Saccharomyces cerevisiae S288C: one gene and its partners. Changing the gene in region 1 together with any one later gene gives a genetic interaction. Each region holds a gene or a part of one and is shown on either strand. Other genes may lie near its edges.

Region 1 (3,400 bases):
GTAACCTAGGTGACATCGTGACTCCTACTATCCAAAGGCCAGATGTTACAAGATCGAATTCGTATGATGGCTTCAGGACCGTTTTTGATTCATCATTAAAAAATATCATCGGAAAAATTAGGTCATATACTCCACCACATCCTAACAATACTAGCAATAATAACCTTCACAGTAGCAACAACTTAAACATACCACGAAGTTCGTCTCAATTATCCATGGAATTGAGCAATAGAGATACAACAGAGATGTCTAGGGATGGCTCACGATCAACTTCATCATCTTCACGATCTTCAGCATCTTTAGAGCACGGAAATCGCGAATTTACCGGCGATTTGACAGTAACCGCTAGCATTAACGGTGCTGATAAAAAGGAGTTTCAGAAATCGTGGAAAAAATATAAAGGCTATAAATTTGAAGATTTGACTATTTGCGAACTAAGAGATCTTTTTGAGATATATCAAAAGATGATGCAATGAAACGTATATATGAAATCGTATGTATAGATGCGAAAGAGGAGGAGAGAAGGCTTTATTTCTGACTATCTTCCTCCACTAATTTGATTGATCAATTTATTTCACAATTCGGATAAGTGGTCTATTATATATAACAATTCGTCATGTAAATTGGTGGCGGTGTCGGAATGCGAAGCCAAATCAGGTAAATACTTATTTTCATTATCATTTTTTATCATATTCACTAATTGATTAATAAAATTTTTGGTGTAGGCCAATGAATTGGTGTCGAATTCCAGTATTTGAATCAGCTTTAGTTTTATATCTTTATCACTTGTCCTCAACAGGAGAATTCTTAGAATTTCATTGTGTTGCTCAGTTTGACCTTTCGTTTTAGTGAAGTTAAGGGCGTGGACGATGGGAAAAGATAACTTCCCCTCTGTAATGTCCTCAGCAAAGCCTTTTTCGCTGGACATTTGGAAATCTTTCAAATTCAAGTAATCATCTCTAATCTGATAAATAATACCCAGAAGATTTATGAAAGGAACCAACGAATGGCCGTGGTGTGAGGAAGGAGACAGCGCTTCCATGAGTCTCAACGTTAATCTGAAAAGGCCGCCTGTTTTATTCATAACCATATTCAAATACATCTCCTGAGTAGGTATGATTTCAGGCAGAAAGTCTCTCCAGTATATATCCAAGCCTTGTCCCCTATGTAGATTGATCAATTCTTCGTTGAAAATCGTAATCAAATTATGATACAAAGGCTCTTTTGTGGTTAGCTGCGATACAAGTTGCATGGCTCTGAAATACATATAATTTGCGGTGTTTATAGTGGAGGGTACACCGAAGATTAAGTGAGAAGTGGTCTGTCCCCTTCTCAAGGGAGCATTATCTTCTATATCGTCGATTAAAAGGCTGGAATTATGCAAGAGCTCAACAATTTGCGAAACTATGGCCAGCTGGTCTTTGGGCAAATTCATAACTCTGTTAATTTGAACTATTAAATTTAGTCTAAAGTTCTTGCCAGGTTTCAAAAGGATGTGATTATAAGGTTTTGAAATCAAGCTTTCATTTTGGCTGGACCAAACAGGATCATTATTGATCAGCTCATCTATCTTGGCCTCCATTGATTTTCCAGACTCGTAAACGCTTTGTTCTCTTTCTATTAGTAGCTTCTTTGAAAATGAGCCTTACATGGTTTTGTAAGCACATCTGTCTTGACTTTTTTTTTGCTTCAAAAAAACGTCAAAGAAGGCAAGGCGAAGCAAAGAAAAATGGTAGTAAGCATACAATGATCAGCATAACATATGCAAAAACACGTAATTTCTGCTATGCTGGAAGCGGTGAACGTTGGATACCACTATAATAATAGAAGTTTACCTTTCAGTATGAAAATGCGGGCTTGTCCTATATCTATATGTAATATTATGGAGTGAGTAGAGATGGCGGCTATACATCGTTGTAGAGAGTTATATCTGTATTGTTAATTAAAGATTGGCCAGGCGAAGGTTGGTTCCTTTTTGCTTTAAATCTGCTTTTATGGGGCCATACCAGAGAATTATTTCTTTCTTTCAGTATTGGCTTGTCAAGCTTTTTGATAATGCTATTAAGTGTCAGCGAATTCGCCGTAGTTTGCAACGCTGTGTTGTTTGTATGGCAATTGTTATTATATACTTCCAAATTAATCAAATCTACCAGGTTAATAGAATGCAAATTCGCTATCTCATGGATGATGTCATTGTGGTAGGCAGTGCCGCTGTGACTGGGGTGGCTAAATGGAGGTTTCCTCTCAGCTAGCATTTTTTTCAATTTGTCTGAGTGCGCTTGAGAGGAGGCCTTTAATTTGGAAGTAGTGACTGGTCTTGTCTTCGAGTCACTGTTTAATTGCTCGAATGAATATAATAGGTTTACGATGTTTTGTAGGAGTTTTAGATCATTGGGCAGCCTTAACATTTCGAAATTTTTCAAGCCGGCGAGAGTCGGCTTATGTATATCTTTATAAAATAATCTTTGTTGTCTTTTGATGAGATTGGACAAATTTTTCTGAACTTCCAATACAGAGATCTTTTCGGGATCATCATCAGGTGAAGATAGGCTGGCGCTATTGTGGAATTTAGGGCGCTGCAGAGGCTTAGGTATTATTATATTTGAGGTGCCCAGTGTTGTGGTTGTGGCTCGAATAGCTGGACTAACCATGTTTTGTGCGACTACTTTACGCTTCTTAGGGACAATAATGGATGGTACCGCTGCCGTTGTGGTTGAAGGAGGATCGGACGTCTGATTTCTCCCTGAATAGTCAACCCTTTTTCTTTTCCTGAGTTGCATATGCATATTATATTGTATGTGCTTGTGTAGGTAGAAGCGTCTTTTATTTATCTACTGTCTCATCAGCTCATCGCATCATTAATACCAGTATCGGTTATAGTACATAATTAACAAATGTATGTAGCATTTTGGCATGCTGAAAAAAAAAAAAAAAACTTTATCAGGCAAGTGGCTCGAAACCGTGTGAAAGGATATCATCAACGGTCGTTTTTACCTGTTCCGCGGAATAGCGTTCCCGTGGGAAGAAAAGCAGCACGTGAGCGTGGAAAATCCGGGCAACACTTTGTAGTTCCGGGTAGTTGACAAACCAGGCCACGTGACCCGAGCTTAGAAGTGGACGCAGTAGCGGCTGTGCCTGCAAAAATGCATTCATGCGAGCGCGGGCCGCTTCGCGCACGGCCTTATCTGGGGAATGTACTGGCAGGGCAACCTTGGACCAGAGAACAAGGTGTACAACACCAGGCTCGAAGTTATACGGGAAATCGTTGGCACGCACAGCATATAGAGTAGAAGAACTAAAAGCCTTCGCGGCAGCATTTTCGAGCTGCGGTTCGTCTAGCGACCAGCCTAGTTTTTGCAAAACGTACTGGTTCATGTCCAGGCCAGCAGTCCTTTTCTTA
Region 2 (3,627 bases), on another chromosome or scaffold:
TTTGATAATCAGTTGAGAAGTTTATCGGCAGATTTGAGCAAAGTTGGCCACCGCAGTAATCTGGACCCACTATGGGGGGACTTCACACGATATTCTCCCATTTCCAAAGACTATGATAAAATTATCATTTGTAGCGCATATTTCATAGATACCGCGGAAAATATGTTTGAATATCTATCCAGTATTGAAGCACTAAAGAAATACTGTAAAGAGCTGCATTGGGTCAATGTAGGTCCATTAAAGTATGGCACCAAACCCTTGGTCCAATTTACAGGAGATGAATTAAGTCGGCTGCGTAAAATTCGCGGGTGGAAGGACCTTGTGGAGGAATATGAAGTTGATAGCTCAAAGGGATTGAATGGCTATTTAACTGATTATGAGTCAATGTATCAAGGATACTATGGTCTGCTTAAATTTCATTCTGTCTTCGAAAGCTGAATTGATACTACGAAAAATTTTTTTTTGTTTCTCTTTCTATCTTTATTACATAAAACTTCATACACAGTTAAGATTAAAAACAACTAATAAATAATGCCTATCGCAAATTAGCTTATGAAGTCCATGGTAAATTCGTGTTTCCTGGCAATAATAGATCGTCAATTTGTTGCTTTGTGGTAGTTTTATTTTCAAATAATTGGAATACTAGGGATTTGATTTTAAGATCTTTATTCAAATTTTTTGCGCTTAACAAACAGCAGCCAGTCCCACCCAAGTCTGTTTCAAATGTCTCGTAACTAAAATCATCTTGCAATTTCTTTTTGAAGCTGTCAATTTGCTCTTGAGTAATGTCTCTTCGTAACAAAGTCAAAGAGCAACCGCCGCCACCAGCACCGGTAAGTTTTGTGGAGCCAATTCTCAAATCATCGCTCAGATTTTTAATAAGTTCTAATCCAGGATGAGAAACACCGATTGAGACAAGCAGTCCATGATTTATTCTTATCAATTCCAATAGTTGTTCATACAGTTCATTATTAGTTTCTACAGCCTCGTCATCGGTGCCTTTACATTTACTTAACTTAGTCATGATCTCTAAGCCTTGTAGGGCACATTCACCCATGGCATCTAGAATTGGCTTCATAACTTCAGGAAATTTCTCGGTGACCAACACACGAACGCGAGCAACAAGATCTTTTGTAGACCTTGGAATTCTAGTATAGGTTAGGATCATTGGAATGGCTGGGAAATCATCTAAGAACTTAAAATTGTTTGTGTTTATTGTTCCATTATGTGAGTCTTTTTCAAATAGCAGGGCATTACCATAAGTGGCCACAGCGTTATCTATTCCTGAAGGGGTACCGTGAATACACTTTTCACCTATGAAGGCCCATTGATTCACTATATGCTTATCGTTTTCTGACAGCTTTTCCAAGTCATTAGATCCTATTAACCCCCCCAAGTAGGCCATAGCTAAGGCCAGTGATACAGAAATAGAGGCGCTTGAGCCCAACCCAGCACCGATGGGTAAAGTAGACTTTAAAGAAAACTTAATATTCTTGGCATGGGGGCATAGGCAAACAAACATATACAGGAAACAAAACGCTGCATGGTAGTGGAAGGATTCGGATAGTTGAGCTAACAACGGATCCAAAAGACTAACGAGTTCCTGAGACAAGCCATCGGTGGCTTGTTGAGCCTTGGCCAATTTTTGGGAGTTTACTTGATCCTCGGTGATGGCATTGAAATCATTGATGGACCACTTATGATTAAAGCTAATGTCCGGGAAGTCCAATTCAATAGTATCTGGTGCAGATGACTCGCTTATTAGCAGGTAGGTTCTCAACGCAGACACACTAGCAGCGACGGCAGGCTTGTTGTACACAGCAGAGTGTTCACCAAAAATAATAACCTTTCCCGGTGCAGAAGTTAAGAACGGTAATGACATATTGACAGTTTTCTATACGTAGATATAAATTTGCAAGTTAGGACTAAGAAGCGCACCAGCTAACCAGGAAGTAATATCATGGCTAACTAACCTTTATAGGCATATCGTTGTATCGTTCTTCGATACCCTGTCGAAGATTTCAGTGCGACAGCCAAACGAGGCCCGAAAATTGTCAGTACAATTACAACCGATAAAATACACGTTGAGACAAAACTAGCACAAAACGCCTCTTTAAACATAAATGTGTACGCATTCTGAAAGTGAGATAGAGTACAAGGCTATCGCTAGCTTTCCACGGGAGAAGTAGTAGGAACCTCTCTTTTTATTGCTTATGACAGTAATAATAGCATCATTCATCAATGTTTCCGTTAGGGTAACTAAAATGGGTGGGCGGCAGATGACAAGAAAAGATGAATAATGAAGAATGATAAAGAAGAAGTCATCTTGGGTAGAAAGGGAAGACAATTACACACGGCCAAAGCTGGGGGGCTCGCCGGATACATTCTCACTTTTACATTACCATATTCACAATTACTTGCATTCGAATAGGACAGTACAAGCTCGCGTTATATTTGGATCCTTATCGATTCTATAATATAACGGGCAGCCAGATAGTACGGTTGAAAGGACAGCGCCCTGAATACAGAAAACGCATTTTTGCCCATTCGTATAGGCATTCATCTCGAATAGGTTTGAATTTTCCATCTAGAAGAAGGTATTCCAATTATGTGGATCGAGGCAATATTCATAAACATACTCGATTACCGCCCCAGTTCATAGGGCTAAATACTGTGGAAAGTGCCCAACCTTCAATATTAAGAGATTTTGTTGATTTACGTGGTGGACATACTGTTATTTCAAAGATCTTAATAGCAAACAATGGTATTGCTGCGGTGAAAGAAATGAGATCTATAAGAAAATGGGCGTACGAGACGTTCAATGATGAAAAAATCATTCAATTCGTGGTAATGGCGACACCTGATGATTTACACGCAAATTCGGAGTATATTAGAATGGCAGACCAATATGTGCAGGTACCAGGGGGTACCAACAACAACAATTACGCCAACATAGACTTAATACTGGACGTGGCAGAGCAAACGGATGTGGATGCGGTCTGGGCTGGATGGGGCCATGCTTCTGAAAATCCGTGTCTTCCTGAGCTGTTAGCTAGTTCACAAAGGAAAATACTATTCATTGGTCCTCCTGGACGCGCTATGAGATCATTGGGTGACAAGATTTCTTCCACTATTGTAGCACAAAGCGCTAAAATCCCGTGTATCCCTTGGTCTGGTTCACATATAGACACTATCCATATCGATAACAAGACGAACTTTGTATCTGTGCCGGATGATGTATATGTAAGGGGATGTTGTTCCTCACCTGAAGATGCTTTAGAAAAGGCTAAATTAATAGGATTTCCTGTAATGATTAAGGCATCCGAAGGTGGTGGAGGTAAGGGCATTAGGCGAGTAGATAATGAGGATGATTTTATTGCATTATATCGCCAAGCAGTGAATGAGACACCTGGGTCGCCTATGTTTGTTATGAAAGTTGTCACTGATGCTCGTCACTTAGAGGTACAGTTATTAGCTGACCAATATGGCACTAACATTACATTGTTTGGGAGAGACTGTTCCATACAAAGGCGGCACCAAAAGATTATAGAAGAGGCACCAGTGACAATAACCAAGCCTGAAACGTTTCAAAGGATGGAACGCGCAGCAATTCGTCTAGGTGAATTG
Region 3 (3,899 bases), on another chromosome or scaffold:
GGTAGTGTACAGACCATTTTATTACACAGTTGTTTCTGATTATTCTTCAAAAGTTTTTGGATTTGACACATTTGGTACTGTTTATGGGTTATTGTCCTGCATTTGTGGTATTTTCAACATGAGTCAAAACTTACTGGACAAATGGACACATACTACTTTCAACATGAATCCATTCCCAATAAACCTTACACTGGTAATCCTCACAGTCGTTTTTTCACTAACTTTAACATTTTACATACGATCTCAGATTTTGCCCAAGCCCGTGAATGAAAGAGGATTGTCCTCCAACTACCAAACTATCTGAGTGCACACTTTCAAGCTAACACGCACTTTATTTATATTTAAATGACATAAAGTTATATATCTAGAAAGTTTATTTATCGTTCTCAGTACCATCCTCATCCTAGTATGTATAGCTTGTACCCATTAAAAGAATTTTATCATGCCGCCGAAAGGAACAATTTCAAGTACTATCGGAAGATGAATGGTTAGATGTTAAGCGCTGTCACTTCAAACTTCACATTTATAAAGATGTCACATGGACCACTATTATCTACCTTAAGTTATTTATCAAGATAAGTTTCCGGATCTTTTTCTTTCCTAACACCCCAGTCAGCCTGAGTTACATCCAGCCATTGAACCTTAGAAAATCTTTTGTCATTAGCGGTTTGAGCCCTAAGATCAACATCTTGCTTAGTAATCACTGCAATGGCGTCATAACCACCAGCACCAGGTATTAAGCAAGTAAGAACTCCTTTTAAGGTCTGGCAATCATCCAATAAGCTAGTTTGTACGGGAGGTTCGATATCGGCACCAGATTCTTTAGTTATTTTTCTAAAGGAACGTCTAATTGTGGCAACTGCATCTCTAACTTCTGTGATTTCAGGATACTTTTGACAGGTACAGTCATTCCTCTCAAGAGACTCAAATATCTGATCGCTGTAATCGTCATGAGTCTCGTGTAAGCGATCTAGTTTAGATAGTCCATCCATAAATCTAGAATTTGCATGATCGAGTTCTGTATATATTTTCAAGCTTTCTGGCATATGCGAATCATACCAATTTTTTACCTTCTGGACCAGTTTTACTGTTTCTGAACCATTCTTAATATCGCCCATCCATAAAGTTAATCCCGAAGGTAAATGGTTACTTTTAATCGTAATATTCCAGTCTTCTTCATCAACCAAATGCGCCAGTTTACTGCCGTAAGTAGCACTTCCAATATCTGGCAAATTAGAGATTAATGCGGGTGGGAATCTTCTATATCTGATAGATCCATATGCTGCCGCCGCTACATCAAACCCGCTTCCAATTTTACCCTGAGCTTGACAATGAGCAACTTGTGCTAAATTATGAATAACTTCTCTATATTTGTCTACATTATTTTCCAGGTCCGATACAAAAAAGGAGGCCAAAGCTGTAGTTAAAACTGTGACTAAACCTGCCGAGGAGCCCAGCCCTGTTTTGGGAACTTCTTCAATTCTGTGCGAATGAAAACTCAATCTTCTGTTGCCACGATGTTCGGTAACGCTATCCTCCTGAGAATGGTAGGCATCATCAGAGAAAATATCAATAACGAACAAGTTTCTATTGCAGTAGTCGTCCATGTTAGGTTTAAAGTAGCTAAATACGTTAGCGATAACTTTTTCAATGAAAGGGTTCTTAGATCCGCCTATCGAAACAGGAATGAAGCCACTTTTAGGACTTATATGGTACAGCCACTCCCCATCTTTAAATTGTTTACTTTTCACACGCACTTCAAACTTATCAGACCCTTGCAATGAACCGTAAGGATGGGCTACAGCATGCATTCTTGCCGATAATCCGACTACAAATGCTTCATATTTTGTATCTAAAACTAAATATCCACCAGCTAGTAACGCTTTCCCTGGGGCACTGAAGGCTCTCAACTCTGACATTTCTCGAGGCAGCCGATTGATTTATTATGAGGCCTTCCAAGATGTTTTTTCACCTTTTTTGTTTTTCCATTCTTTATATAATCTTTCTTTCCATTCGACATGACGTTAACTCCGCCTTAAAACCGAACTTTTTTCCTTTTAGATCTCGTATAGAAAAACGCATCGCAATAATTATTACTATCTACATATTCCTGTATACAATTTGATTATTTGTCAACACTTGGATGCGTATTCTGTCCACGGCTTTTTGGCTCGTGCCCCCTACGCCTTTTAGTATTTGATGCGGCAGAACTGCCTTCTGTGATTTTTCTTTTCCGTCTTCTGCTGTTGTAGTTTCTTTTACGGCTTTTCTTTTTTGCTTTAGTTTTGTCCTTTTCGCGGTTTGTTTCCTCATCATTATTATTTTCTGGAGAACTTTTATCATTGATTAGTTCCATACTTGGTTTCTGTTCTTCAAGTACAGATTTTGAAGGCATTTCCTCCTGTTCTTCTTTAACTTCTACTTTAACAGGTATATCCACTGCTTGATGTTCGGGCTCCTCACCTTCATTTACTTTGATGTTAATGGAATTATCGTGTGGCTCATTATCAACATCGTGGCTAGATAAATGTTCTGATCTATCATCCAAAACGGATGTTACATTGGTTTTATCGTGTTTCTCAAGCGTGGTGGCGGGAATTTCATCATTAATTTCCATAGGGACTTCATTTGGCGTGTCTGAGAATATTTCATACACTTCCGGTGATGTTGGCGCACTCTTTTCAGCGGTAATATTTTCCGAATTTGAATAGGGATAAGAATCTGTCACTTCTTCCTTATCAGACGGAGGATCAGATGGAAGATCTGTGGACGGTATATTTCCGCGTTGCCTTTCATCATCATTCATTTTACTAGAAGCTGCTGTCTCTGTAGGGCCCTCTATTTCCAATTCGTACAACTCAGCTTCTTCTGGCTCTGAATTTAGTTCTTCTATTGACCTCTCCTGATTGTTTGATAGGTCCAGGTCTTCTTCATGTTCGGGGTGTTGAATGCTAATATCTAACTCCGAAAAAGTGTCTTCTTCAATTGCTCCAGCATATTTCTCATTAACGGACTTTTCAAACGTGAGATCCCGTTCACGGCTTGTATTAACTTCGTCTGATTCTTCTTGATTTTTTCCTCTCCTGGAATCTTCAATGAGCCTCTGAGAATAATTCTCTAGGTCACTTAGATTCTTTAGGAGTTGTTGTCTCTTAATATCATCGGGGGCATTACTGTGAATATTTGCTGATGTTATATCTCCATATATGGTATCAAATTCTTCTTCATTCTCGCTGTGGTCTTTCTTTTCGAAATGTTGCTCGGATTGTAAACCTTCAACTAGCGGCTCTTCCGACTTATGCAAATTTTCCTTGTCCTTTACTTGCTGTCGAAACACTTCGGAGTCCTCTTCATAAGCACCGTTTGTCGTGGGATCGATGTTTATCACACGAGAATTATTACCATTGTCATTATGTGCTTCTGCGGTAACTCCTCCGAGTATGACAGCTTCATCTTCATCGCTGTCTCTCTCTTTGCTACTTACACTTTTCATATTAACAGATGCATCGGTAGAATTCGACTTGTTAAAAATGTCTTGATTATAATCACCAATATCAACGTTATCATCACTCTCAGAATCCATAACATCAATTTTTTTCACGAATGATTCAGCTACGTCGACTACCTTACCCACTCCCTTAACTACAGCTCCAATAACACGAATTGGGGATGAAAAAATATTTGATCGATCAGATTCTGGCTTCAATGGTTCCACAGACTCAATTTCCGAACTGGACACCCGAATGTCCAAATTATGTTTTGCAGATCCCTCAACATTTTTTTCAGCTGTGGAGTCTTGGTCTCGGTCTGAATCAGAGCAAGCTTGGCTAACCTGATCATGCATATTGGTATTATTTTCCAGGGCTTTTGTGTTTTCAATGGTAGTTGCTCTTCTTTCA
Region 4 (2,850 bases), on another chromosome or scaffold:
TTTTATTTGCTGTATACTACATTTTTAATATTTTAAAGCTCTTCGTCACACTTTTTCTTTAATACTCCTAAGTTTTTGGGTGAACGGTGGCAACTGGATTGAAGTTATTTCGCATAACGCTTAGTGTGCCGTAAAATAATAGGACAGACACTTTTCTTTGTTCTCGTACAACCCTGGGGCCGATGTTAAACGAATGATTTTCAAAAAAACAGTAGACTTACAAAGAAGTCGTGCACTAGCGCTTATGGGTCATTTTAGAATGAGCGAAATGCACGACAACCAGGTTGATCGTATTGAAGTAAGAGCAGAGCTTTATTTGCCTTTTTTTTTTTTATCTAAGACGATGATTTTTAGCCATACACAAAGATAAGTATATACATATTAATTTATAATAATTCTATCTGCCAGGCAGATTCTATGATACAGTGACATACTTCTATGCGATATAGTAGCATAAGTTAATGTTGTAAGACATTAATTTGGCCTTGATTGCTTGTAAATAAATAATTTAATAAACTGAAACGAAAAATTCAATTGAGTTTGGAGAAGAGTGTGGGCTATTCTGGAAGAAAAATTATTCGTTCAACAAATAATAAGCAACACCTAGCATTAAAATGGCCAATATGACAACCAATGTACCACTACCTTTACTTTGGTTTTCAGAGGTAGATACCTTTTCCACAGAAACGCGCTCACTGGTCTTGTCAACGTCACCAATGTATAAACCTTTCAGTAGTCTCAATGCTTCGTCAGAATGACCGATATCGACAAAGCTTTCTGTAGCATCTTGTCCACCCAAATCCATTATAATTTCATCACCACCTGGATGTTCATCTTTGAATTGAGAAACATCGTAAACTTTGTCATCGATGATAATCCAGAAATTTTCTGGGCCATTGTGTTCGGCAACTTCTTGGTAACTGTAAACTTTAGGCATGATTGTTTGATATTTTATGTTGTAGTTGATTGATTTTCTTTACTATGAAGAAAATGAAAATCGAATTTAAATATTAACGAGGAAGCCTGAACGAAAATTTTTGAGAAAGTTTCAAAAGCTTCTTGTTCTTTATATAGTTATTGGAAAAAGGACAATATATATATTTGTTATTTATTGATATAATAACAATGCTTCTCAAATATCGCTTTTTGGCCACGAATGCGACAAAAATTTTCTCGTTATGCTAACCTCTCTCACTATCTCGATCTCGTATAGCTTTCTTTTTTGCAGCTATTGTTCTTTTTCTGGGCCGTTAAATTTTTCATCCGGAAACTCCAGGCTATTACCCGCTCCGTGATTTTGGTCGTTGAATCTTCGTAAAAGCAATCATGTAAATATCATTGAATACGGACAAACGGAACTATATTGCTGGAATTAATGATATAAATGGTTTCCCAAGTTTGCTATATCTCCTATTCTATCTTACAAAACCCTTTTCTCAGGGTGGATGAGAAGTGACAAGTCACCATTTGAATTCGATACCTGACTTGGCTAATTTTTTTATCCTTTCTTCATGTTTTTGCTTCATGTTATCCTTTAGCTGTTTTACTGGTTTGGTGATACCTTTCTCTACTAGAACTCTCTTCTTGTATTTGTACAATTTCTCGATTTTAGCTCCTTTTGGTAATACACGCACTTGTAGTAGATGACCCATCAACAAGTAATTGTTCATAGATTCTTGGGCGATCATTGCATCCTCTTTATTAACGAATTCTAAGAAGCCATAATGTCTGGAATTTCCAGTTTTCTTATTACGTGCTAATCTCACTTCTTTTAAATCACCGAATTGAGCAAAATATTTACTTAATTCCTTTTCGTGGAACCCATGTGGCAGTCTACTCACATAAATAATCCCAGAATACTCTTCAAGTGTCTTTTTATCTTTCGACTTTTTTTCATTAGCCTGCTTCTTAGGATTCAATCTTTTAATCTTGTGTGTACCGCTCTGCTCATCATCAGAAGCGGCTAAACCTTCAATTTCATCTTCATCTTTTTCGTCTTCTTCATCTGAACTGCTAGACGATGTTTCTAGAGCCAACTCTTCTTTCTCCTGTATAGGTTTTTCTTCGGTGGGTTGTTTGGTTACTGTTTCCTTGGTGGAAGTTTTGCTTGTTGACTTTACCATATCGATCTCTTTCCTCTGTTATTTTATCTCTAGAACTTAACCCTATAGAAAAGGTAGTTAATGAAGTTAAAAGTAATGGTAATCGTCTTCAAATTAAGTGATGAGATGAGATGCGATGCACTACTTCATTTTTTCTTATGGCGGAAAATTTTTCATAGTGAAAAGAAACAGGCAAAATCTGGGGGGTAACCGCATACGTCTCTGCTATGCCGTCTGTAATGAGGATGCTAAAGTTGCAATAGCTGCTATGCACATTAGAAAGGGTTTAGCAGGATAATGAGTTTTCAGAGATAGCACAAAACTCGAAAGGTTTCGGTACTACTACCTAGACAGCTCATCTTTCAATCGTTGAACCTTGAATTTTGAAGTTTAGGGATATTAAAAGATACTGTTAATTCTATCAATTTACACTAGACTTTGACATATGTATATATATATATATATTCACACAGCTTCATCATGAAATAAAAATCAAATGCAGAAGTGTATAATGAGAAGTACAGAATTCAAGACTCACTTTAGTTTTCACTCCATTTTTAGTTTTCCGCTCTCAGCTGCTCTTCTCGCTTTGATATCAGCGTCTGAACCAGCCTCAAAGGCATTCATAAACGTCCAATTCATTTCTTCCCCATTAGTTAAAAAGGAGGTGTTGCCATTCATTGTAAGTTTCCACTCTCTCTCTTCAAATGGTATACTTTCATTTTCTCCTTTCACCAGCTCAAATTTA

Evidence for each region.
Region 2: mutations in BTS1 (region 1) and ERG12 together harm fitness more than expected from each alone (negative genetic interaction), as found in Saccharomyces cerevisiae (3 studies listed by BioGRID).
Region 3: mutations in BTS1 (region 1) and ERG8 together harm fitness more than expected from each alone (negative genetic interaction), as found in Saccharomyces cerevisiae (3 studies listed by BioGRID).
Region 4: mutations in BTS1 (region 1) and CYB5 together harm fitness less than expected from each alone (positive genetic interaction), as found in Saccharomyces cerevisiae (3 studies listed by BioGRID).

Annotation. Positions count from the first base shown.
Region 1 is NC_001148.4:422,311-425,710, forward strand, and holds BTS1 (farnesyltranstransferase), read right to left. Parts: upstream 1,583-3,400; coding exon 575-1,582; downstream 1-574. Other genes in the region: guanine nucleotide exchange factor MUK1, read left to right, coding at 1-476; YPL068C (uncharacterized protein), read right to left, coding at 1,905-2,786; HTC1 (Htc1p), read right to left, coding at 2,941-3,400. UniProt on the Saccharomyces cerevisiae protein: Catalyzes the trans-addition of the 3 molecules of IPP onto DMAPP to form geranylgeranyl pyrophosphate. Required for the membrane attachment of YPT1 and SEC4. May be involved in vesicle trafficking and protein sorting.
Region 2 is NC_001145.3:682,722-686,348, reverse strand, and holds ERG12 (mevalonate kinase), read right to left. Parts: upstream 1,883-3,627; coding exon 551-1,882; downstream 1-550. Other genes in the region: YMR209C (uncharacterized protein), read left to right, coding at 1-438; acetyl-CoA carboxylase HFA1, read left to right, coding at 2,785-3,627. UniProt on the Saccharomyces cerevisiae protein: Mevalonate kinase; part of the second module of ergosterol biosynthesis pathway that includes the middle steps of the pathway. ERG12 converts mevalonate into 5-phosphomevalonate.
Region 3 is NC_001145.3:710,336-714,234, reverse strand, and holds ERG8 (phosphomevalonate kinase), read right to left. Parts: upstream 1,920-3,899; coding exon 564-1,919; downstream 1-563. Other genes in the region: FMP42 (Fmp42p), read left to right, coding at 1-304; ESC1 (Esc1p), read right to left, coding at 2,126-3,899.
Region 4 is NC_001146.8:416,366-419,215, forward strand, and holds CYB5 (Cyb5p), read right to left. Parts: upstream 938-2,850; coding exon 575-937; downstream 1-574. Other genes in the region: rRNA-binding ribosome biosynthesis protein NOP15, read right to left, coding at 1,461-2,123; YNL108C (uncharacterized protein), read right to left, coding at 2,649-2,850. UniProt on the Saccharomyces cerevisiae protein: Membrane bound hemoprotein which function as an electron carrier for several membrane bound oxygenases.